Linked DNA regions of Macaca fascicularis. The protein of the gene in region 1 interacts with the protein of each later gene in a pairwise test. Links are inferred from orthologs where the notes say so. Each region holds a gene or a part of one and is shown on either strand. Other genes may lie near its edges.

What was found.
Region 2: the proteins of MS4A12 (region 1) and MALL interact in binary tests that used the Homo sapiens proteins (3 or more experiments, as listed by UniProt). The two-hybrid records come from large-scale screens. The link is inferred for Macaca fascicularis from reciprocal best matches to the Homo sapiens genes MS4A12 and MALL.

Annotation. Positions count from the first base shown.
Region 1 is NC_088388.1:13,725,116-13,737,707, forward strand, and holds the start of MS4A12 (membrane-spanning 4-domains subfamily A member 12), read right to left. Parts: upstream 6,708-12,592; coding exon 6,429-6,707; intron 3,268-6,428; coding exon 3,133-3,267; intron 2,391-3,132; coding exon 2,334-2,390; intron 712-2,333; coding exon 607-711; intron 1-606. UniProt on the Homo sapiens protein: May be involved in signal transduction as a component of a multimeric receptor complex.
Region 2 is NC_088387.1:17,482,679-17,495,204, forward strand, and holds the start of MALL (MAL-like protein), read right to left. Parts: upstream 7,192-12,526; 5' UTR 7,166-7,191; coding exon 7,061-7,165; intron 1-7,060.

The DNA.
Region 1 (12,592 bases):
GAATGAAAGCTTCCAGTCCAACCTCATTTTATACCATGTTCCTCCATTCCTTATAGATGGTAAGCATTCCTGCCCTTGGGCCACCCATTTCCTCCTAAGGTCGGAGTCCATGCTTGGCTGTATAAGGCTAATGAATGTGTGATTCTGTTTTGAGCACATTCAGAGGCATGTGCTTCATTTTGCAATTGCTTCATTCCTTGGGTTTCTCTGTAAAAATCGGATGTCTTATCCCTGTCTTTTACCTCTCACTTCATACTTTACTCTGAAGTTTAACAAAAAACACTCAATAGCTTGACTACCTTATTTATATAGAATTTCAAATGTTGGGAAAATAATTTTTGGACAATTTTAGAAACCCTTCCCCATTGTTCATTTGATTGACAGTGAGATGGGCCAATAAAGGATGTCCTTTAAGCCTCCGTCTATCTGTAGAGGTAACCCTCTCACTTTATTCTATAGTCCTAGAGATCATATGACTAGGGGTGGGGCTAGAATAGAAAAAAAAATTTCCATTAGAGCTGGTGTACGGTATTAAGAGATAAAACATAGACCCACTTTACAGGACTGAAAAGAGAGCAAGCACATGGTGGATTATGGGATACTTACGACCCGTTGGTAAGGCCCATGGATGCACATATCCACCACCAGCAGAATCACTCCAATGAAGGCAAAGATAGAACTAACAATGTTCATTCCCAGGCTGCCTTTCACCTAGTGGAGATGGCAGGCAAAAATCAATTATATACAGGATCACTGAAGTTAAATGAAATAAGAATCAATCAAATTTCATGGTTCTTAATTTTTGAACTTTCAAAACAAATTTTCAAGTTGAAATTATTCTATTTTCTGCCCTTCTGGGTAATTACCATAAACATTATTCTATATGCAGCCTAGAGGTAGGGTACTTCTAAAAAGCTGTAGAAAAATGTAAATCATATAAAGCAGGCACTCATCTATTGTTTTTACTAAAAGCCTCATGCACAATAACAACTATATTTTCTTTATAAAAAATGAAAAAACTTCTAATGAGCATTTTTCTGTGGCAGACACTGTGTTAAATTATTTAAATTATCTCACTTAACTCTTACAGCTTTTGTATGAGGTGGTATGATAGCATCTGATTTTTATAGATGGCAAAGTATTTAGACACAACATGTTTGCTGAAAAATTTAGGAATTAATGAAAACCCTAAGTCTCTCTAGGGACTAAATATGCACCCCCAAATTTAGAAGGAGAAACTCTTCAAGCTTTTGTGGGCAGAGGTGTATGGGTGACTACAAATCTTTCCCCAGTTTCTACAATAGGATTTTAACATGCAGAAGAATAATTGTGAAAGCAGATCTGCTGCTGACTTGCTAGGGGTGGCGTAGTTGAGTTCTTTAGAATGTGCTTGTACTGCAGCATGCCTTAGAGCCTCCTGATGGTCTCTGAAAGCTCTTGGAAAAATTGTCTTAGGTAAGTGTCAGTGGCTGTCTCCTCTAAGAGGATGGAATCTATGCTTGGACAATCTCAATTAGAGGGAAGGATCCTTAAAGGATGCAGAGAAAGGGTGCTTTATTTTGTTTTTGGACTACGAAATTATTTTATTCTTGTTTTGTCTGGAAGAGCATGAACTACACAATCCTGTGTTCCTCTTTCCCTATTCTTCCCTCTTGTGCTGGATTACATATAATTTTGACACCACCTCTGCTCTAGTTGACTCTAATTCTTGGTAAATCACTTTCTTTTTCCTAGTTCAATAGTAGACCGGGAAATTGCAATAGGTGGGGCTCTGTGACCAACAGAACTCAAGGTCCCATCTTACTGATCATTTTTATAAACTCTTCTTACGGAACAGGCTAGATTCATTTAATGGCAATTTAAAGAATTGTAAAACACACACCCAATCTTGAGTAAGAGTAGGAAAGACGCAAAAATATGAAAATAAAAATACAAGACAGAGCTGAGAAGTGGCAAATTAACAGTAGAGACTTGGTAACTGATGTGGCTAGTAGGTATTTCCTGGCTCCTGGATTCTCCTTTGGACTTCCCATAATCGAGTGTGACCTGACTAAACCAGGGAGCTTTCAGGTTAAAGCTTAAACCACCCTGATCTTTACTACTTCTCACCCTTGTCAGTTCAAGAGTCAGGATGTGGAACTCTGCCATTTCTTAGTGGCAGACTGTGTGGACCACTCTCCTACCCCAGCGCTCAGACCATGAGGCAACCAATAGATTTTTTTTGGGAAAGGTGCTCTCTTTTGCATTTCCCAAATCCAGCTTTTCAATTTTCCTCCCCAATATGTTAAGCTAATCTTTAAAGGGGTTCAAAAAGCAGAAACAGTCTAACTTACCAGACAAGAGGAAAGCTCCTTGGATGCTGACACAGAGAGAGAGCCTGAGATAATGAACTGTGGAAATGGACAAATTTAGTTGAGAAATGGGTTAACTGGTTGTGCTTGGGAGTTTCTCTTTATACAAAAGGTTGGTCTATTTACGTTCATCTAGCTTCCTTCTCAAAATTTTCTCTTGCACTTCTAAATTTTCTGGGTAACTCTCAGGCATGTATGTCCTTGACTTCTTTTTTATTTTCTCCTTAATTTCTGGCCCATGAGGAACTCATAATGTCTAAGCTTTCCTTGTTCTGAGGCTTACGCTCCATCCCTTCTCATAATCAATTGCATTTTTTTAATTAAAAAAATTTTTTTGGAGATTGGGTCTCACTATATTGCTCAGGCTGGCCTCAATCTCTTGAACTCAAGCAATTCCCCGGCCTCAGCCTCCCAAGTAGCTGGGACTACAATCACATACCACTATGCCTGACTTACTTGCATATTTTTAATCATGTTTTCAATCACCTTTTTTTTTTTCTCTCTCTCTCTCCACCCAATACATACATTTCCATCTCAAATGTAGTAGGAAACCAAAACTTTGGCTTGCTGGTTACATGATTACATTTTAAAGAATGGAATAAGCTCCTATTTAAAATGGTAAACAAGTTCCTGATTTTTTTATGCTCATTCAGAGCTGTTAATTTTTCTAAATTCTCCAGCCCTCAGATGTAGGGCTTTATCAAGAAATGAGTTGTGAATTGGCTGGAGATATCAATACTTTATAAACCAAGAAGGAGTGGTGTTCTAGCAATCTACTCACAGAAAGGCCACCCCAGAATGGGTATCCACTAATAACAGCAGAGGCAAAACCGAGTACTCTTCCATAAGGGATTACTATTAGACACAAAATAATTCCAAAACCAAGGTGCATCAATCCAACCATGATCTGGATTACCTGAAAAAAGAAAACAACCATTTTAAAATTACTTCTTCACTTTCAGACGTGTGAAACATTACTGTCATTGCTGCCCCTGCTTATTGATTGTCAATTTTGCTGAGATCCATGGTTGTCATTCAGGCACGCATCTGAAGCAGGAGGTGGGCCATGAAGATTCTGACATACACTAGAATAACTGGAGTGTAGGTAGCCCTTAGTGAAGCGCCTTGTTTTGAGGTATTTGGGGAGACTTATTGGGGTGGCCCAGGAAGAATTCTTCAGAAAGTACAGCTGCTTAATCATGTGTTAGTATCTCTGAAGGCCTCTAAAAGACTATTAGAAAAAAAATACTTTAACTGTGATGTCAGTAGTTGCTTTTTCAGATGGATCAGTTCTCTGCTTGGGTCATCCCAGTTACGGGTAAAGGGACTGGTGAAGATAAAACCATTTATAAGGCATGAATTATGTGCTTAGTCATGTTCTGAACACTTTACATTTATTGTTTCATGTAGTCCTCCCACAATTGGATTGAGTCCCAGAGACATAAAGACATGTGAGACCTTGTATCCAAGGTCATGCAGTTCCTGAGGGGCAGATCTGGGAATTTACCGCAGCACATTGACTGCTGAGCCTGTCTGAACTATTCAGTACTGTCTTCCCCCATGCTCAGCTCTGCTCTACCTCTTCCATGAAGCCCTCTTGATTACACCAAATTAATCTTTTTTCTTTTTTTCTAAATTTCTGTTGCATCTCATGACATAAAACACACCTTGTTACTTGATTTTGTATTCATTGATATTGTTCTCTTTTAAAAAGTTGCAGGTGTGCAATCATTTTCTTACCATTCTTCTTACCAATCATATATTACTAAAAGTAAGGTATGCATCTTTTAGCTCCTTGTACCTCTTATTGAACCTTCCTTCACTGTAAATAAAGATAGATTTCTGAGGAATAACCATTTCTAGATTGGTCCAAAAGTTGACTGTAGATTTGTCATTTATTTTTCCCCATGTTTACACCTTATCTATCCAGGAAGACTGCAAATACAAAGACTGCTGTATTTATTCAATAAAAAGCTACTGAACACAAGTAAATTGAATTAAAATAAAAAAACCCAGTTTTATAAACAATGCTAACAGTTTCTTGAGACTTTGATAAAAACCGTGAACCTTTCTCCCTAAAAAATTATTCTTGCACCTCCATACACACACATACCATACTTTTGCATATAGTTTCAGAGGCATGATGGGCCTCCTTTAGCCTATCTCACTTAAAGAACTCCTGTATTAGACTTTATATTTGGTTTTTACAACTCTTCTTTAGAGCAGCAATTTAGCCATCTGGCCACAAACTTCCCATCCTCATCCTTGCTGTCACCTTGATGAGGGACAGTTAGATCTGGATTTGTACTGGCCCTCATTTCTCCTCCTACAGCCCTGGCTGTACCATTTACTGATGAAAATTGCCTATAGGACACACTTAAAAATTTGGACATACAATTTGTCTGCATTTGTGGACACAGAAGCACTTTAAGGTCTGAGTTGACTGGTACAGGTGTGCCACGTCCTGCCACCTGTGGCCCCTGCACTGTCGTGATGCCTGGGGCCTGCTGATGGTATAGAAATAACAATCTTCAGAGAGAGGAAGTAGCTTCTGCCAACTGGAGCTTTAAACAAAACTTCATAGTCTTTTAAAGTATTTTTATCACACGCCTTTTTGGTGCCAGGCAGCGTGATTCAGTGGTTCGTCATCCACTTAGTCAAAGCCAAAGCCTTCTGCTCTGCAGGCCTCACCAGCTGTGGCCTCTGCCACTCCTCTGCCCTCCTGACAACTGCTCCCTCCCTCCCTCATTCTGTTCTATTTTATTGGCCTTCTCCCTGTTTTTCAAATACATCACAGATATTTTCATCTAAAGACTTTTACACTGGTTGTTTTCACTTTCCCTGATATCTGCAGGGCTCACTCCTAACTTCAGGTTTTTGCTCAAATGTCATGTTCTAAGGAAAGCCCATTCTGACTGCCTTGAAATTGCTGCCTCCTCACTGTCTGGTACTTTTTAGCCCTTTTACACTTCTTTGTTTTGTCCATATCATTCGACACCTTCTAATACACTAAGTACTTTACTTCCTTCTTATGTTTACAGTCTGATTTCCCCCACTAGGGCAAAAGTTCTGTAAAGGCAGAGATTGCACCTGCTTTGTACTCGGTGATATTTTCCAAGCACCTATGTGGGGTTGGCTGTATGGGGGGTTTGTCCCATTGGCTTATTAGAAGTGGGGAATTTCCTCTATCTGGGAGGAAGAGGATCAGAAGGGCCACCTCCACAGCTTAGTAAATAGGCTGCTGCAAGAGAACTTAGGCTCATTTTTACTTCCCTAAAACATCACAACTTGAAATAGGTAGTAAGATGACTAGAAGATTTTCTGGCACATAATGAGCATTCATTTACGGAATGCTCCAGCAGAGAATTTCAAGCTATTCACAGGGAGAGACTTAATATAGTTTGGTGGAATTGTACTAGCGGGATGAATGAGGTATTTGGAAAGCACAGCGAAGGGAGTAACAATTCTACCTAGGCAGGTGGAATTTTCTTACAAATAGGGCATTTTTGTTTTTACAATGCCTACAGAAACAAGGTGGTCAGTTCAGAGTCTCCTTTGTAGGAATAAGGTGACAGTTACGCTGTAGCATCTCTAAGGATATTGGCGAGAGAGGCACAACAGATGGAACGTCCCCCAATTCTTTCACACTCAGCCTTTCCCAGACTGCCCATTTGTAGTTTCCTTTTCTGGAGGCAGCCATCAATGTTCATTTTTATGTAAATTCACCTTTATGCAAATACCTGACTTGTAACCAATCTGGAGACGAGATTGAGATTGTCCAAAAAGTCCTTTGAAGAAATGAGATCAAGCTAGATGTAGTAGAGTTTCCGTCATGTCAATATTACCAAATCCTCCAGCTAGGGAGGCTCCTCTGTCTCCTGTTATATTTTTGCTTGATCTAAAATGAAATGAACTCAAGGGAAAGTCTATAGGCAGACTAAATATTTCTGTCTAAAAGGGATAGTTTCAGAATAACATTCAAAACTTTTTAGCAATTGGATGATATTCTCTTCTCCTATAACTTATAAGAAGACCTTGCAAATGTGAGTTTAAAATTCTAGTAGTAAGTAGACTTACCCCTAGTACCTTTGCTTCTTCTTTAAAGTTTATTACTGCTCTTCCCACGCTTGGATTTATCATTTGTGTATTTCCTTGACCTGGTTGACTGACAGCAGAGGTTCCTGGAGATGTGATGAAGTAGGGCTGAGCACTCTGAGCACCCTGAGCTTGGTTTTCTAAGTTGATTGAACCCGGAGGCTGTTGAGATCCAGGAGCCGTAAAGCTGCTTGGTGGGTAGTAAGGGTTGGGTGTGGTTTCATATACTCCAGCATGGCTTGTTGGCTTGGATGACACCATGATGTCCTAAGTATCACAAAACATACCAAAGTGATACGTTTATCCAGAAAAGAAACTAAAGAAAATCTTACCAAATATCAAATGTCAATTATCTATGATAATGGAGAGAGCAAGTGACAGATAATGGTCCATAACATCTGATAGAAACATGATTCTCATAAATCCCCAACCCCCAGGCCAAGGACTGTTACCCGTCCGTGGTCTGTTGGAAATCTGGCCACACTACATGAGGTAAGCAGCGGGCAAGCATTACTGCCTGTGCTCTGCCTCCTATCAGATCAACACGGCATTGGATTCTCATAGCAGCGTGAACCCTGCTGTGAACTGCACATGCTGGGGATCTAGGTTGCATGCTCCTTATGAGACTCTAATGCCTGATGATCTGAGGTGGAACAGTTTCATCCCGGACCCATCTCTCATTAGAGAGATGCTATGCTGCTGATTGTGAAGATGGAGGAAGGCGTCCATGAATCAAGGAATGTGGGTCACCTCTAGAAGCTGGATGAAACAAGGAAACAGATTCTTCCTAGAGTCTCCAGGAAGGAACCTGACTCTACTGACACCTTGACCTTAGTCTAGTGAGCTGGTATGGCACTTCTGACCTACACAACTGTCAGATAAAATAATATATTGTTTTAGGCCACTGTGTTTGTGGTAGTTTGTTATATCAAGAAATAGAAAACTAATACAGGGGCCAAGTAATACAATACTTGTATGGCAAAGAGGGCAGTCCAAGATTGAAATTATTTGCCAGTAATTGGGAAACTAGATGGTTCACATATGCCCATTTAAGATGATTCTCCTGTTCTTTAGGAAAAATGCTCTTACTCATTTCTGTCCTTCTGAAAGCTTAGAGCATCTCAGGCCCCATGTAGCCAAGGGAAATTTTGTTGGAAATAAGCCAATACAACTGGATATGGACAACAATGACTATTAATTCTTGAAAAAAAATTATGACACTTAAAAAATTTGTCATTAGCCTTAGATTCCTTTTTTTGAGGTCTTCTCAAATAATTTTTCATGTACTTATGAGTATCAAGAAAGTTACAGTGATGAATGTCTCATTCTTGGTATGAAGTATGAATACTATGAATAACCTATTGGTACAGTGTTTCACTGGTATCTAACAGGGACACATATTCAGACCCTGTGCTCATGGAATCCAGAAATTTTAGGGTAGGAAAGACCCTTTCCATTTATCCTGTCTCATTCCCCTTCATTTACAGATGAGAAATTGAAGCTGAGTCAAGTTAAGTGACATGCTCAAGGTTACATAGAAAACGTGTGGCAGAGTTAGGACTTGAAAATGGGATTCTTGGCTGTTGGTTCAGAATCCCCCTCCACCCCCAGTCATCCATACAGCATCACTGTAGCTTGTTTTCCAGGCCAGCCTTGGTGACAGGGTATTGACTCTGCTCCTGCAACTGCCCAACAACAAAACTTCTGTCTTTGATGCCATAGAGAGGAGTTTATAAACCAGATTAACTTCTTAGTGACTAAGTAATTAAGTTAGTAAGGATTCTCTTTAGCAAGCTTTAGTCGAGGTGTGTAGAGAGCTAACCTTTATTAAAGACTTATTGTAGGCACAGTAGGGTCTGTATAGTGTCATGTTTAGGAAGATGAACTTGGGATCTAACCCCAACTTTGTGTCTTTGGCAAGTTCGTTAACCTCTCTTTGCCTTTGTTTTCTGTCTGTAAAATAGAGCTAAAAAGACTACCTTCCTTAGAGAGTCAGTTTGAGTATTAAGGAGTTATTCTGGGCAAAGTATGTAGGACTGTGCCTATTCCAACCACAGGGGTTGGCTCTGTTATCGCTATGTTAAGTGCATGAGATACATTATCTCTGTACCCTTTACAGAACCCCATGAGGTAGGTACTCTACTAATATCCCCATTTCACAATGAGAGGATTTAATCCAGAACCTGCACTTATAACCCTTACTCTCCGATGCTAGATGCAACTGAAAATGGTTGAAAACTCAATGAAAAGGGAGAAAACACCTTTCTGAAATATCTGATGACAAAGGGATTTTATTTTTTTTCCAAAATGGAAACACGTCCGGCACTTTAGGAGGCCGAGGCGGGTTGATCACGAGGTCAGGAGATCGAGACCATCCTGGCTAACTGTGAAACTCCATCTCTACTAAAAATCCAAAAATAAATAAATAAATAAATAAAATTAGCCAGGCCTGGTGGTGGTCGCCTGTAGTTCAAGCTACTTGGGAGGCTGAGGCAAGAGAATGGCATGAACCCGGGAGATGGAGCTTACAGTGAGCCGAGATAGTGCCACTGCACTCCACCCTGGGCGACAGAGAGAGACTCCGTCTAAAAAAAAAAAAAAAAAGAAGGAAACACATTTTAGCCCACAAAGTTTATTTTAAACAAGGAAAAAGAAACAAGTCCATAGCTGTGACTCTTAGAGTAACACCACGTAACTCCCAATAGCATTTGAGAATGTGAGGTTATACATACTATGGATCTGGTTTCTATGGCCAAATATTACTCAAGCCCTCTTTTCCAATCTTCAGTTTGCTACTTCACTAAGTCTGGGGCTTTAAACAAGTTTCTTAATGAAATCCCTGTTAGTTCCTATGTCTCAACTGTAAAATGACAGAAGGTACCTAAAGAGGCTAGTCTAAAGATCAAGTTATCCTAATTTATGCAAAACTGTTGGAATAGTGCCTGGCACATGGCAAGAGCTCAAAAAGGAAACTATTGTTTTATTACTAGGTCCCAAGGTATTCTATCTTGTTTAAGGCAGTGGATGTGGCCATAAGGAAATTTTATACAAGGAATTGAACAGGGTCAATGTCAAGAGCAAGGATATAGGAGATGGGTACTCAGAGTACAGTAATTAGCCAGAACAAGAATTTTTTTGAGGTTTTAAAAAGCATACAGTTAAAGAATTGTCCACGTTTCTGCATGTATATGATTTCATTACATTATCCTTTGCTGTTGATCATTGCTTTTTTTTGTCTCGAGAAATTTTATGAGGAAAACTCAATACTTTTCATTTATTTATCCACAGTTTCTCCTTTCATATCTGCTATTTGGTTTCTGGACTAAGATCTATAAGTTTCATATAGAACCCAGATTATCATGGCTAGGCCTATACTTATTAGGACTAGTCTCAGAATACATTTTTACTGGGTCAAGTTCTGGTTTTATGAAAAGAATTAAAGACAGAGCCAGCCAATTCTGATTCTTTAATTATTCAATTGAAATGAAGACAATTCTGTAAATGATACATGAGAAGGGAAACTAATAAATAGACTCCTTTTATAGATTCCACCTATTGTCTTAGTGGGATTGTTCTCTTGACAATTAATAAAATATTTACCACCATTTGTCCTTCTTTTAAAATGAAAATTAGAACAACTGCAATTTTTAAGAACAAGGAACACATAAAATTATTGGAACTCTGATGAGATCAAAAGTACAAGACTAAAGCAATTAGAGAAAACCTCACCAATTTGCTCTGTGATTATATTATTTCAAATAAAATGGGAAAAATTTTACTTTTTTATAGTTTCTTTCTACCTCATTTTCATGCTAACTTCACTTTTGACAGAGTGAAGATGATTATTATTTTCAAGAGTACTTTATAGCATAAAGCAAAACATGAAACTGAATCATTTCCGCAAAATCACCCAGTACATCCACAGATATACACTTTTATCACCTTTCCCAAAATGCTAACCTGGTGAAAATGAATGTTTTTTCCCCACCTATTTTAATTGTTTTCTTGTCAGAAAGAAGCACCTTAATTAAAATGTGTTATAAAACCAAGGGCTCCAGTATTTCTTCTGTGTTCTGTGTTGTCCTGTGGTAGCCACATAATCATGAAGCACCCAGTGGGGCATGGCCTCGTCCTTTTTGGTCTATGTTCATGGAATGGCATACAGTTAAACCTACTATTCACTATTCACCTTTCTTGGCATTAGTTTTTTATTTATTTGTTTGTTTGTTTGTTTGTTTGTTTGGACAGGGTTTCACTCTTGTCACCCAGGCTGGAGTGTAATGGAGCGATCTCAGCTCACTGCAACCTCCACCTCCCAGGTTCATGTGATTCTGTCTCAGCCTCCTGAGTAGCTGGGATTACAGGCACCTGCCACTACGCCCAGCTAATTTTTGTATTTTTAGTGGAGATGGGGTTTCACCATGTTGGCCAGGCTGGTCTCGAACTCCTGACCTCAGGTGATCCTCCTGCCTCGGCCTCCCAAAGTGTTGGGATTACAGGTGTGAGCCACCATGCCCGGCCAGCATTAGCCTTTTTTTTTCTTTTTGGAGTCTGTTTTATCTCTTGTATAGCAATCAACTTACTTTTTCATTCTTCTTCTGTTTCGTTTCTTTCTTGTTTCATTCATGGTTTTATTTTTCCTCATTTTTCAACTGGCCTCAACATAGAGTCAAGAACTTGTCTTCATCCCTCCAATCTAGAGAATAGAACCCACACAGGTAGACCAGCCCCACTTTGTGCCCATTGATTTGGAGGAGAGATAAGCAAGGACGTTTCAATGGACTTACTTGTTCCTTTGGCACCTCGGTTTCCTCTTTCTCTGCTCCAATCTGTGTGCCAGTATCAGGTATTTACCTGGATTTTATAGGCAACTTTTACTTCCGTGCTTCAAACCAATTTGTCTTGTATCTTTTTGTAGTTCCAAAGTCCTTTTATGGTTGTTTCTTTTTCACCTTAAGTGATGTAGATGCAATTGTAAAGTTTGGAATATGCTGTGCTTTCATGTCTTCCTCTAATTTTTACTGGGAAGCCTATTCTGACCCTCCCAAACACTTTAGTATTTACTTTCTCCAGCTTTCTGATACTTAATCATTGCAATATCATACTGCATTTTAATGCCTTTTAAATTAGATGGACAAAATTGGAAAATGCAGATAATAAAAAAAGGAGAGAAAAAGCACTCAATCTCACCACGCAGACATAATTGATGATAGCATTTGCATTTTGATTTGTAAACTTTCGTAGGCATATACATGTATTTTATACATATATAATTTAGTAAAATCAAGTTAGGATCATAATGTATGTGTACTTTATAACCTGCTTTTTAACTTAACTTAATGTCCTATAAGTAGCTTTTCATGTCAATAAACATATTTATTGTAATTTTTTTTTTTTTTTTGGAGATAGAGTCTCGCTCTGTCGCCCAGGCTGGAGTGCAGTGGTGCGATCCCGGCTCACTGCAATCTCTGCCTCCCGGGTTCAAGCAATTCTCCTGCCTCAGCCTCCCGAGTAGCTGGGACTACGGGCATGTGTCACCACGTTGGGCTAATTTTTGTATTTTTAGTAGAGATGGGGTTTCACCATGTTAGCCAGGATTGTCTCGATCTCCTGACCTCGTGATCTGCCCACCTCGGCCTCCCAAAGTGCTGGGATTACAGGTGTGAGCCACCGCGCCCGGACTATTTATTGTAATTCTTAATAGTGGCATGCTGTTTTATTTTTTGGAAGTGTCCTATCACATTCCAGTCACTTATTTTATGTTGTATCTCAGGTACAAATGAGTACCTTGAGACCAGAGATCCTTGGGGCAGGGGCTGATATCTATCCCCACCTCCAACTCCATGTATGGCAGTGTCTCACACATGGCTCATTAAATATATGTTAAAAGAGTTAGTGGCATGATTGCAGATTCTTTTTTCTTTTTTCTTTCTTTTTTTGTGTATTATTGAGGGTTTTCTTTCTCTTGTGGGTTTAAATTTTTATATATTTTTCTAAAATAGAAAAAAGATGCTGAAGATTTATTAATGTTATGAACTTAAGAAAATGACATTTTCGTGGCCGGGCGCAGTGGCTCACGCCTGTAATCCCAGCACTTTGGGAGGCCGAGACGGGCGGATCACGAGGTCAGGAGATCGAGACCATCC
Region 2 (12,526 bases), on another chromosome or scaffold:
GGAAGAGTACTGCATCAAGGGAACACCTTGTAGAACAAAAGAATCTGAACAACAGCCTTTAGCCCTAGACCTTCCCTCTGACAGAGCCTACCCAAACGAGAAGGAACCAGAAAACCAGCCCTGGTAATATGACAAAACAAGGCTCTTCAATACCCCCCATAATCACACTAGTTCACCAATAATGGATCCAAACCAAGAAGAAATCCCTGATTCACCTGAAAAAGAATTCAAGAGATTAGTTATTAAGCTAAACAGGGAGGGACCAGAAAAAGGCGAAGCCCAATGCAAAGGAAGTCCAAAAAATGATACAAGTGGAGGGAGAAATATTCATGGAAATAGATAGCTTAAAGAAAAAACAGTCAAAAATTCAGGAAACTTTGGACACAATTTTAGAAATGTGAAATGCTCTGGGAAGTCTCAGCAATAGAATTTAACAAGTGGAAGAAAGAAATTCAGAGCTCAAAGACAAGGTCTTTGAATTATTAACCCAATCCAATGAAGACAAAGAAAAAAAAAAAGAGAAAATATGAGCAAAGCCTCCAAGAAGTCTGGGATTATGTTAAACAACCAAGCCTAAGAATAATTGGTGTACCTGAGGAAGAAGAGAATTCTAAAAGCCTGGAAAACATATCTGGAGTAATAATCAAGGGAAATTTTCCCAGATTTGTGAGAGACCTAGACAGCCAAATACAAGAAGCACAAAGAACACCTGGGAAATTCATCACAAAAAGATCTTTGCCTAGGCACATTGTCGTCGGGTTATCCAAAGCTAAGACGAAGGAAAGGCTCTTAAGAGTTATGAGACAAAAGCACCAGGTAATCTATAAAGGAAAAGCTATCAGATTAGCAGCAGATTTCTCAGCAGAAACCCTATAACCTAGAAGGGACTGGGGACCTATCTTCAGCTTCCTCAAACAAAACAATTATCAGCCAAGAATTTTATATCCAGTGAAACTAAGTATCGTATATGAAGGAAAGATACAGTCATTTTCAGACAAACAAATGCTGACAGAATTTGCCATTACCAAACGACCACTACAACAACTGCTAAAAGGAGCTCTAACTCTTGAAACAAATCCTGGAAACGCATCAAAATGGAACCTCTTTAAAGCATAAATCACACAGGACCTATAAAACAAAAATACAAGTTAAAAAGCAAAAGCAAAACCAAAGTAGACAGGCAACAAAGAGCATGATGAATGCAATGGTACCTCACATTTCAATACTAACATTGAATGTAAATGGCCTAAATGTTCCACTTTAAAGACACAAAACCACAGAATGGATAAGAACTCGCCAACAAACTATCTGCTGCCTTCAGGAGACTCACCTAACACATAAGGACTCACATAAACTTAAAGTAAAAGGGTGGGAAAAGGCACTTCATGCAAATGGACACCAAAAGTGAGCAGGGGCAGCTCTTCTTATATCAAACAAACTTTAAAGTAACATCAGTTAAAAGAGATAAAGAGAGACAGTATATAATGGTAAAAGGCCTTGTCCAACAGAAAAGTATCACAATCCTAAACATATATGTACCTAACACTGGAGCTCCCAAATTTATAAAATAATTACTAATAGACCTAAGAAATGAGATAGACAGCAACACAATAATAGTGGGGGACTTCAATACTCCACCGACAGCACTAGACAGGCCATTGTAACAGAAAGTCAATGAAGAAACAATGGATTTAAACTATACCTTGGAACAAATGGACTTAACAGAAACAAAACAGGAGATATTACAATTGACGGAACATTTCATCCAACAACCACAGAATACACATTCTATTCAACAGCACACGGAACTTTCTCCAAGATAGACCATATGATAGGTCATAAAATGAGACTTGATAAATTTAAGAAAACTGAAATTATATCAAGCACTCTCTCAGACCACAGTAGAATAAAACTGGAAATCAACTCCAAAAGGAACTTTCAAAACCATTCAAATACATGGAAATTAAATAACCTGCTTCTGAAAGCATTGAGTCAAAAATAAAATCAAGATGGAAATTAAAAAATTCTTCAAACTGAATGACAATAATGACACAACTTATCAAAACCTCTGGTATATAGCAAAGGCAGTGTTAAGAGGAAAGTTCATAGCCCTAAACACCTACATCAAAAAGTCTGAAAGAGCACAGATAGACAATCTAAGGTCATACCTCAAGGAACTAGAGAAACAAGAACAAGCCAAACCCAAACCCAGCAGAAGAAAGGAAATAACCGAGATCAGAGCAGAGCTAAATGAAATTGAAACAAACAAACAAACAAAAAACCCATAAAAGATAAATGAAATAAAAAGCTGGTTATTTGAAAAGATAAATAAAATTAATAGACCATTAGCAAGATTAACCAAAGAAAGAAGAGAGAAAATCCAAATAACCTCACTAAGAAACAAAACAGGAGATATTACAACTGACACCACTGAAATACAAAAGATCATTCAAGGCTATTAGGAATACCTTTATGCACAAAAAACTAGAAAACTTAGACGAGATGGATAAATGCCTAGAAAAATAGAACCCTCCTAGCTTAAATCAGGAAGAAGTAGTACACTAAACAGATCAATAACAAGCTGCAAGATTGAAACAGTAATTTAAAAATCACTGACAAAAAAAAGTCCAAGAACAGATGGATTCACAGCAGAATTCTACCAGACATTCAAGGAAGAATTGATATCAATCCTTTTGACATTATTCCACATGATAGAGAACAAAGGAACCCTCCCTAATTCATTCTATGAAGCCAGCATCACCCTAATATCAAAACCACGAAAGGACATAACCAAAAAAGAAAACTACAGACTGATATCTTTGATGAACATAGATGCTAAAATCCTTAACAAAATACTAGCTAACTGAATCCAACAACATACCAAAAAGATAATCCACCATGATCAAGTGGGTTTCATACCAGAGATGCAAGGATGGTTTAACATACGCAAGTCAATAAATGTGATACACCACATAAACAGAATTTAAAACAAAAATCACATGATCATTTCAATAGATGCAGAAAAAGCATTCGACAAAATCCAGCATCCCTTTATGGTCAAAACTCTCAGCAAAATCGGCATACAAGGGACATACCTTAATGTAATAAAAGCCATCTATGACACACCCACAGCCAACATAATACCGAATGGGGAAAAGTTGAAAGCATTCCCTCTGAGAACTGGAACAAGATAAGGACGCCCACTCTCACCACTCCTCTTCAACATAATACTGGAAGTCCTAGCCAGAGAAATCAGACAAGAGAAAGAAATACAGGGCATGCAAATCAGTAAAGAGGAAGTCAAACTGTCACTGTTTGCTGACGATAAGATCATTTAACTTGAAAACCCTAAAGACTCTTCCAGAAAGCTCCTAGAACTGATAAAGAATTCAGCAAAAGTTTCTGGATACAAGATTAATGTACACAAATCACTAGCTTTTCTATATACCAACAGCAACCAAGCAGAGAATCAAATCAAGAGCTCAACCCCTTTCATGATAGCTGCAAATAAAAATAATAATAATAATAATAATAATAATATACTTAGGAATATAACTAACAAAGGAGTTGAAAGACCTCTACAAGGAAAACTACAAAACACTGCTGAAAGAAATCAGACGACACAAACAAATGGAAACAAATCCCATGCTCATGGATGGGTAGAATCAATATTGTGAAAATAACCATACTGCCAAAAGCAATCTACAAATTAAATGCAATCCCCATCAGAATACCACCATCATTCTTCACAGAATCAGAAAAAACAATTCTAAAATTCATAGAACCAAAAAAGAGCCAGCATAGCCAAAGCAAGACTAAGCAAAAAACAACAACAAAAAAAAATATGGAGGCATGACACTACCTGATTTCAAACTATATTCTAAGGCCATAGTTACCAAAACAGCATGGTACTGGTATAAAAACAGGCACATAGATCAATGGAACAGAATAGAGAACCCAGAAATAAACCCAAATACTTAACAGCCAACTGATCTTGGACAAAGCAAACAAAAACATAATATGGGGAAAGGACATCTTTTTCAACAAATGGTGCTGGGATAATTGGCTACTCACATGTAGGAGATTGAAACTGGATCCTCGTCTCTCACCTTATACAAAAATCAACTCAAGATGGATTAAGGACTTAAACTTAAGACCTGAAACTACAAAAATTCTAGAAGATAACACTGGAAAAACCCTTCTAGATACTGGCTTAGGCAAGGATTTCATGACCAAGAACCCAAGAGCAAATGCAATACAAACAAAGATAGATAGCTGGGACCTAATTAAACTACAGAGCTTCTGCACAGCAAAAGGAACAGACAGCAGAGTAAACAGATAACCCACAGAGTGGGAGAAAATCTTCACAATCTATACATCTGACAAAGGACTAATATTCAGAATCTACAATGAAGTCAAACTAATCAGTAAGAAAAAAACAAAAAATGCCATCAAAAAGTGGGCCAAGGACATGAATAGACAATTCTCAAAAGAAGATACACAAATGGGGAACAGACATGAAAAAATGCTCAACATCACTAATGATCAGGGAAATGCAAATCAAAACCACAATGTGATACCACCTCACTCCTGCAAGAATGGCCATAATCAAAAAAATCAAAAAACAACAGATGTTGGTGTGGATGTGGTGAACAGGGAATACTTCTACCCTTCTGGTGGGAATGTAAACTAGTACATCCACTATGGAAAACAGTGTGGAGTTTCCTTAAAGAACTAAAAGTAGAATACCATTTGATCTAGCAACCCCACTACTGGGTATCTACCCAGAGGAAAAGAAGTCATTATTCAAGAAAGATACTTGCACACACATGTTTATAGCAGCACAATTCACAATTCCAAAATTGTGGAACCAACCCAAATGCCCATCAATCAATGGGTGGATAAAGAAACTGTGAGAGAGAGATATATATATATGGTTACAAATACGGTGCAGTGTACACAAGGATGATGAGTGCACCAAAATCTTACAAATCACCACTAAAGAACTTACTCATGTAACTAAATACCACCTGTACCCCAATAACTTATGGAAAAATAAATTTTTCAAAAGCAAAAAACAACAACAACAACAACAACAACAACTAATCAGTACTCTTCAGAAGTGGCAAGGTAAGGACCCAGGTTGTCCCAGATTAAAGGAGATGAAGGAGATATGACAACTAAGTGCCATGTGGGATCCTGGCCAGGATCCTGGATCAGAAAAAGGACATCAGTGAGGAAATTAGCAAAACTGAAGTAAGGTTTATAGAGTACTTGATAGCACAGTATCACTGTTTCCTGATTTCAAGAGTTGTACCATGGAAGATGCAGGCATTAGGGGCAGCTGAGGGAAGAGTACACAGAACTTTCTGTACTATTATTGCAGCTTTACTGTAAATCTCACATTACTTAACAATACAAGTAAATGAAGACAATTGGGCCAATGTCAATTTTGATTGTCATTGAGCCCCTCACCCCCCACAACACGTAAGGCCTCAGAGCCCAACATGAGCATGCACTTTGCTCTCCCAGGAGTTTCACTGGCAGGAGCAGGGCAGGTGGAGCCACCACGACCTCTCACAGTTCTCACCCTGGGAGCGATCCTGATTCCGGAAACACCGTGCATCTAGCCTGCTTCCAGGACTTCTCCCCTGGCCTCTAGGCCTTTCCCTCTCTTTCCCCCCAGCCTATGAATGCCTGTTCTTTGAGGTCCAACTCTTGGTGGCAGGCCTGGATCCCTCCCTGGCCTGGAGAGTTCAGAAGGTCCCTCCTTGCTGAGGCTACCATCCAACTGTTGGGGGGGAGATGCTCACAGTCTCTCCCCAGCAGACAGGAAATCACCAGGAGGCAGTGCCCTGTCACCAGGGGCTTGCAGGACTGACATAAACCACAGGCTCAATAAAAAGAGGCAGAGTCAACCAGTACCCTGGCCGCCCATGTGGCTGCTCCAAGGTGAGGGGCACACCCAGGGCCTGGCACATAGGACTCATCAGAGCAAGGTTATGTCATCAGTCTGGCAGGATGCCCACGCTGTGCTGGGGATGGTAGCCTTGGCAGAAACCTGCCTCTTAGGTGGAGTTTCAACTGGAGCCACTCAGATGCTAGGCCCACCCTACCTGGTTCTCTTTCTGGTTGCCATCAATGGTCACCCATTAGCCAGTTTGCCTAAAAGTGGCTCGATCAGGCCCAACTTTGCAGGCAGATAACGAGAGTGAGAAGGGCCGGTCACGTCCGATTTAAAAGTAGATCCACTTTCTATCTTTTCCTCCCTGCTCAGAGACAGCACTGCCAAATTCAGGGCAGGTAAGAAAATACCACCCACAAGCTAGATATTTCAGAAGGTGCTGGAAAAACAAAACACACTCTTTTGCCCTGATTGGACCCCAGACTTCAGTGTGCTCCTCCATGAAGAGGATGTGGTACCAGCCAGTTCAGAGGGGACTTGTGCAGTGTGGAACACTGCATATGCACAGCTCTGCAGATGGGAGCAGGCAGGCTTCCCAGGGATCAGGGCCACGACTCAGCCGTAGGGCGCCCCAGAGAGTAATACAGTGACAGGTTCTCATTTGCAACCAGGGTGCCTCACACGACTGTTTTATGGCAGATGCTGTCATAGTTACCTTGTGTGGGGGACCCCACAAAAGTCAAAGTTCAAAGTCAGCAGACATGACAATTAAGAAAACCTGCTCCCAGAGGGAAACACAGTCTCCCCACTTCAAATCAGAAAGGCACAAATAGTTGGACAAAAGAAGCCATGTAATTATAATTCATTTCCAACATTTTCCTGGGAATCCTGAGTATTTTAGCAACGTCCCCCCAGGCCTCCACACCCAAGTGGGTTTTGTTTTGGAGGGCGGAACCCCCCTGGCGGCATCAGACGGGGCGCAGAGTGGGATCTGTGTCTTGAGTACAGCTGCACCCCGCTGTGCGCCCGGTGGGAGACTCGCAGCCACCGCAGCCCCTGCGCTCGGTCCCCCTTGTCTCAGCGCGGTCTGGTCTGGGGCCGAGGCCGGTTTCCCCCTTCCTTTCTCTCTGCAGGTGGCCGGGGGGCCGCACTCACCAGCTCCGGCAGGAAGAAGGCGAAAGGGATGGTGAGGAGCAGCGCGATCCCCGAGGGCACATCGGACGGGGCGTAGCTGGTGACCGGCGGGTCGGGCGAGGCCATGCTGTCAGCCCCTGCTGGGCACTCCCGGCAGCTCGCCCGAGCGCAGCCCGTCAAATATCACCTCCTGCGCGACACACCCATCGGACGTCGTCTGGGAGGGGAAAAAAAAGTTCCAGCCGAGCAGGTCCTTCCACTCGCTGAAGCCAACAGATCCTCAGTGAGCGGGCCAGCGGCATCGAACGGCCCTGCCTGGCCGGCGGGGGACACAGCGCTGGTGCAGGAGGGAGCAGAGCGGGAGTCTCTTTCTAGACCTTTCCAACTAAGGAATCTTTGACTCCTAGGGCCTGTTACTCTAGGGGATGCCAGCGACAGTCACTCCCCTGGGCCCAGAGTGTAGGCTCAGGCTGCTTGGCTATGAGGGCTGTGTACTGAGGACCAGCAATGAGCCATGCTATCTGCAGACAGCCCGGGTGCCCACCACGGCCTGCACGTGGCTGTTTTGCCCTTTTCCAAGTGAGGAGACTGAGAATCAGTGAGGTCAACTCAAGGCCACAGAGCTGGTTACTAACAATGCTGGATCTTGCCCAGCTCCCTCCCTTTCCACTCTTGGTGGCAGCTCTCGGTCGCCAGCCTCCCCTGGGAGGAGCAGCCCTCCCTTCCAGCTCATGCCCCTGGGACTTGGTGTTTCCTTCTTTCTCTGGATCCCTTTCCATGGTCCTCCACTGCTCTTTTCCTCATGGCGCAGATGGAGGAAGGCCCCCACTCTCTGGGAGAGGACCACAGCAGCAGGCACCAGAGAAGGGCTGGGCTGGCTGGCTGCTGCCTCTGGCGGACAACCTCCTTCCTTCCCTGACCTTCCTTCCAGCCAGTGCCTTGCCCCTAAATGGGCTTGGGGCCAAGAAGTTTCTTCCTGACTCCCAGGCAAGTAGGGGAGCTGACTGCAGGGCTGTGACCCAGAAGCAAGCAACTCCTTTCACACCAAATACAAGTCCCAAAGGCTGAACCATTTCCCCTCCGCCTTTGAATTGGCGAACCTTCATTTTCCCAACCTGCCCTGAAAGAGTGTACTCAGGATGCTGGGGATTGGGGTCCCTTCTTCCTGCCCCCAGCTGCTCCCTGGTATGGAGAGCATGTGGGGAAGATTGTGTGAGGGCTGGATTAATTAGAAGAGCCCGTGTCCTGATCTCATTAGCAGAAATGGGGAATTCCAGGTCCTGTCCTCAGGGCCACAGGTGGGGAGATCAGCCAGCTCAGCCTTTGCCTCGTCTGGGGAGAGCCCAGGGAGAGAGGAGTTTGGACAAATGAAGCTAAGAGCAAAGGCATTGCAAAGAAAGGCAATGAACCCCCCAGTGGATCTCAAACCAGACTGAGCATCCCTTTTCTCCAGGCTATGGAAACTAGGAAGTAAGGGAGACGCTAATCCCACCTGCCAACCGCAGTCTCACCTACGCCACCTTGTTTACAGGACTAATCCAAGCAAAGCAGGGATTTCTCCATGAATCCCACATCTTGCCACCTCTCTTAAAGGTTGCAAATAAGCACTGTGCCATTCTTACGGGCTGTAGGATACCTTTGACTTGCCCATGGACAACATGGCATAGTAGGAAAAGCTTAAGAAGGAAAACAACCTTCTTAGGCTCATATCTATGAAATGGAGATAATAATACAACCCATAACCCCTTAGTCTCAAGTTGAGAGGCCTTGAGCCACCTCCACCTTCTGAAGCAATTAGCATATTAAGAAATGAAGATATGCCTTGGTCCTCCGGCTAAAGACCAGGGTTTTCATTTTCCTCCTCTGCTGTGCACTTCTTGTGACTGTGTCTATCTTCGGGACCAAGGCAATGTGGGTGTCGGGGTTTGGGGCGGGGGGGCGGGGGGAGGGGGGGGGAGAGAGAGAGAGAGAGAGAGAGAGAGAGAGAGAGAGAGACAAAGGTAACAATTATTCCCCCCATGCTTTTAGGATCATGGTTCCTCTGGTCAGAGACAAAGGTTCCCCTTTCTCAGAGTTCCAGGTACCTGCCTGGCTGCTACTTCCATTGCCACCATCACTGTCACTTGATTGCCCAGGGGCTGAGGAAGGAAAGAATAAACAAACAAACAAAACACAGAGATTTTCTACACTCCCTCTGACTCTTTGGGGCCCCCTTTCCCATTCCTCAGACCAGAAACAGGGCTTCTTTTGGAGACGTCTTTGTCCGCATCCTGCGTACAGTTCTGGGTTTCAGGTGGTCTCTGACCCCGGCTGAGAGGTACCAGAGGAAAGAAAATGGGAAACTCACCAACAGCTTAGTAGTGTTTTGAATTCTGGTTTCCTTCCAAAATATTCCTGCTTTTTTTTTCTAGAATCCTCAGTTAGCTTCTCCATGCATTCTGTCCAGGGCTGTTAATTGCATTTAGTGAAAGGAAGAGAAGGAGTATCCTTCTCTACTTGACCAGAGCCCAACTTGCAACATCCTGCTTAACTCTTCAAGCACTTTTCACTACCCAAGATTTCCCTGATTTACTAATTTGCCTATTGTTTGTCTCCCTGCCCTGCCCCTCTCCAGGATGTGGGCTTAAGGAGAGCCAAAACTTTGCTCATGTGGTGAACCACAACCATATCCACCATCTTGAATACCGTCTGGTACACAAAAGGTACTCAATAAATGGTTTTGAATAAATGTTTTTGAATGATTGAAACAGTCATGAAAACAGTCATAAAGACTTTGAAGACAACTGCTTATCTCTTTTTTTGACTCCTCTTTATTAAACTCTTTTCCCACTAAGAAATTGCTTTATCATTTTTCAGAAACAATTTACTAGTTCCATGAAAAGGAAGAGACAGGCCAGAAGAAATTCAGAGATACTTGGGGGAAAGAATAGACAGTTGTATCCATTGGGATTCTTTCAATAACAAATGTTAAAAAAAACCCATTCCAACTGGCTTTAGTGATGAAAGGAACTTATTACCTTAGGAAATGAGAGGTTGAGAGGTAATAATGGTTTCCGGTGAGACTTCATCCAGTGACTTGAACAATGACACTCAAGGTGGAGGTGATGTTACCAAGAGACAAGTATATGGAGGCTGGGTAGCAGAAACACCAGATGTCCACTACAGTAGCCTCCCCCTGTAGGAGCAGAGCTCTCCCCTTTTCTGCTGCAAGAACACACATGTCCACTGGTTCTGGCCTGCTAGACACAACTAGATTGCAACTATTATTTCTACAGATCAAGGTCTCTTTAACTCTCAGATGGGGTAGACTCAGGAAGACCCTGTGATTAATGTTCATAGCCATGAGGCAGAACTGAGTCTGGTTTCTTGTGTCCCTGGAGTTGGGCAAGTACCGAACAGCTGCCAGGAAAAAGGAAGGACTCAATGGGATAATGTCTGGGTCATCCAGAGATTCCTACCTGGAGAAGAGCTCAGAAAGCATGGAGACCTTTTTATTCCCCAAAATGGTCTCTTCGAAAGGACAAAGTTCTGCAAAGTTAATCTTTTCTGGCAAAGTCAGATGCAAATGAGCAGGTTAAGGTCCAGTCTGTCTTACAGAGTATCAGAAAAGGGCTAAATGACAGACACACTATCAAAGTCCCAAGTGTGAGCCGTACTCCATGAATGATTTTTTATATTGCTGCACACAGACCTGCACGCCTCATTCAGTATCAGCCATCACTGAGCAGAACATCCTCAACCTCCATTTTCCTGCCTATGAGACAATATAGCCCATAGCCGTTCACTTGCCATTCACTTACTATTTTTTTGAGACAGGGTTTCCCTGTCGCCCAGGCTGGAGTGCAGTGGGATGATCACAGCTCACTGCAGGCTCAACCTCCTCAGCTCAAGTAATCCTCCAACTCTGTCTCCCGAGTAGCTGGAACTACAGACCTGCGCCACCATATCCGGCTAATTTTTGGATTTTTGTAGAGATGGGGTCTCATCATGTTGCCTAGGCTAGTCTTGCATGCCAGGGCTCAAGCACCCTGACTGCCTTGGCCTCCCAAAGGTGTGAGCAACTGTGCCTGGCCCATTCACTTATCTTTATACCCATCCCTCTTTATCCAAATTGACTTGGTTACTGCATTCAAATATCAGAATTCAGAGAGCAAGTTTGAGTGTTGAGGGATACAGTGTTATGAAATCCATGTGTCCTTGAGTTTCAGGTAGTAAATGTGGCAGTTCAAATAGTGAGGGATTCATCTGAAAATGTATTTAAATCTAACTGGTCCCCAACAACAGAAAGTGGCGTTGGGAGAGGGAGAGTGAGGATAGGAAGGAACACCCGTACACTTACCATTGACTTCGTGCCTGCCACAGGGCCACTAACAGCCCTGGCCATAGTACTGTTGGAATTATTTTTTGTGTTTGGGTGATTACTGTCCACCTCATGTATTGTAAGGACAGAGATCTTGCCAGGATTGTTGTCACTCTATCTTCAAAGCCCAATGCTGTGCCTGGAGCATGGCAGGTGCTCAACACTTATTAAGTAAATGAGGAATGGACAATCGTAACACTTAGATGCAAAGTGCCCTAAGTAAGGTTCTTTCTCTGCCTCTTTGTTTTGAGGAAACAGATCACAGCAGCTAGGTGACAGCTGTCTTTGATCACCTCCACACCCCAAGAAAGCCTTCCAATTTAGAATGCTTCACACAAGAGGAAGCTGAGGCAGTTCACAGCAAAGGATATCCTATAATGCTGCAAATTGAAAAAGCCCTCAACTGGCAGAGGACACTGCTGGCTTCCTCTGTTAAACTGATAGTTTCCCAACTGCTACTGGGTTGGCAAGTCAAACTTGCTCCATTTGTACACAGGGTTATGTATTTCAACTGGTTTTATGTGAGTTGCTCTGGCCTTGCATATGAGATCCTAAAAACATTGAAGACAGACTCTACCTGCTCTTTAATATCTGCCTTTGACCCTAGACTTTCATTCCAAGCACCCAGGCAAGCGAGTTGCAACATTTTTCACCTCTGCAGACCTGACGGATATGACACTCAACCAATTAAGAGGTGGGGAGGGTGGGGAGGAGTGGGCCACATAGTTTACAGTTCAGACACCCCGCCCTGCCTGCCCTCCCATGGTTCGGGTGCGGTGAGTCCCCCTGGCCTCACAGGTGGGCACCACATGTGTGGTCACTCGGCAAAGGTCTGCTGGTGACCCTGCTGCTGCCCGCCCCCCACAACTTACTATTAATTCTGTGAGTTGCCGAAGTCATTCTCCTTGACACAGACCCATGAAGACTCATTTCCAGGATGTTTTTGGCTCCCTGACAACCTTTTCCTGTTTTGGAAGCCAGTAAGTGGCATTTAAAGTCACAGAGATTTTGTTGTTTAAAAAAAAGAAAAAGATTCCACTGACTGAAGAGAAGGTGGAGTCTCTTAACGGCAGAAATGCCCACGCCCCTGGGTCTCCCCCTTCCGTATGTACCTCACTTTCTGGCCT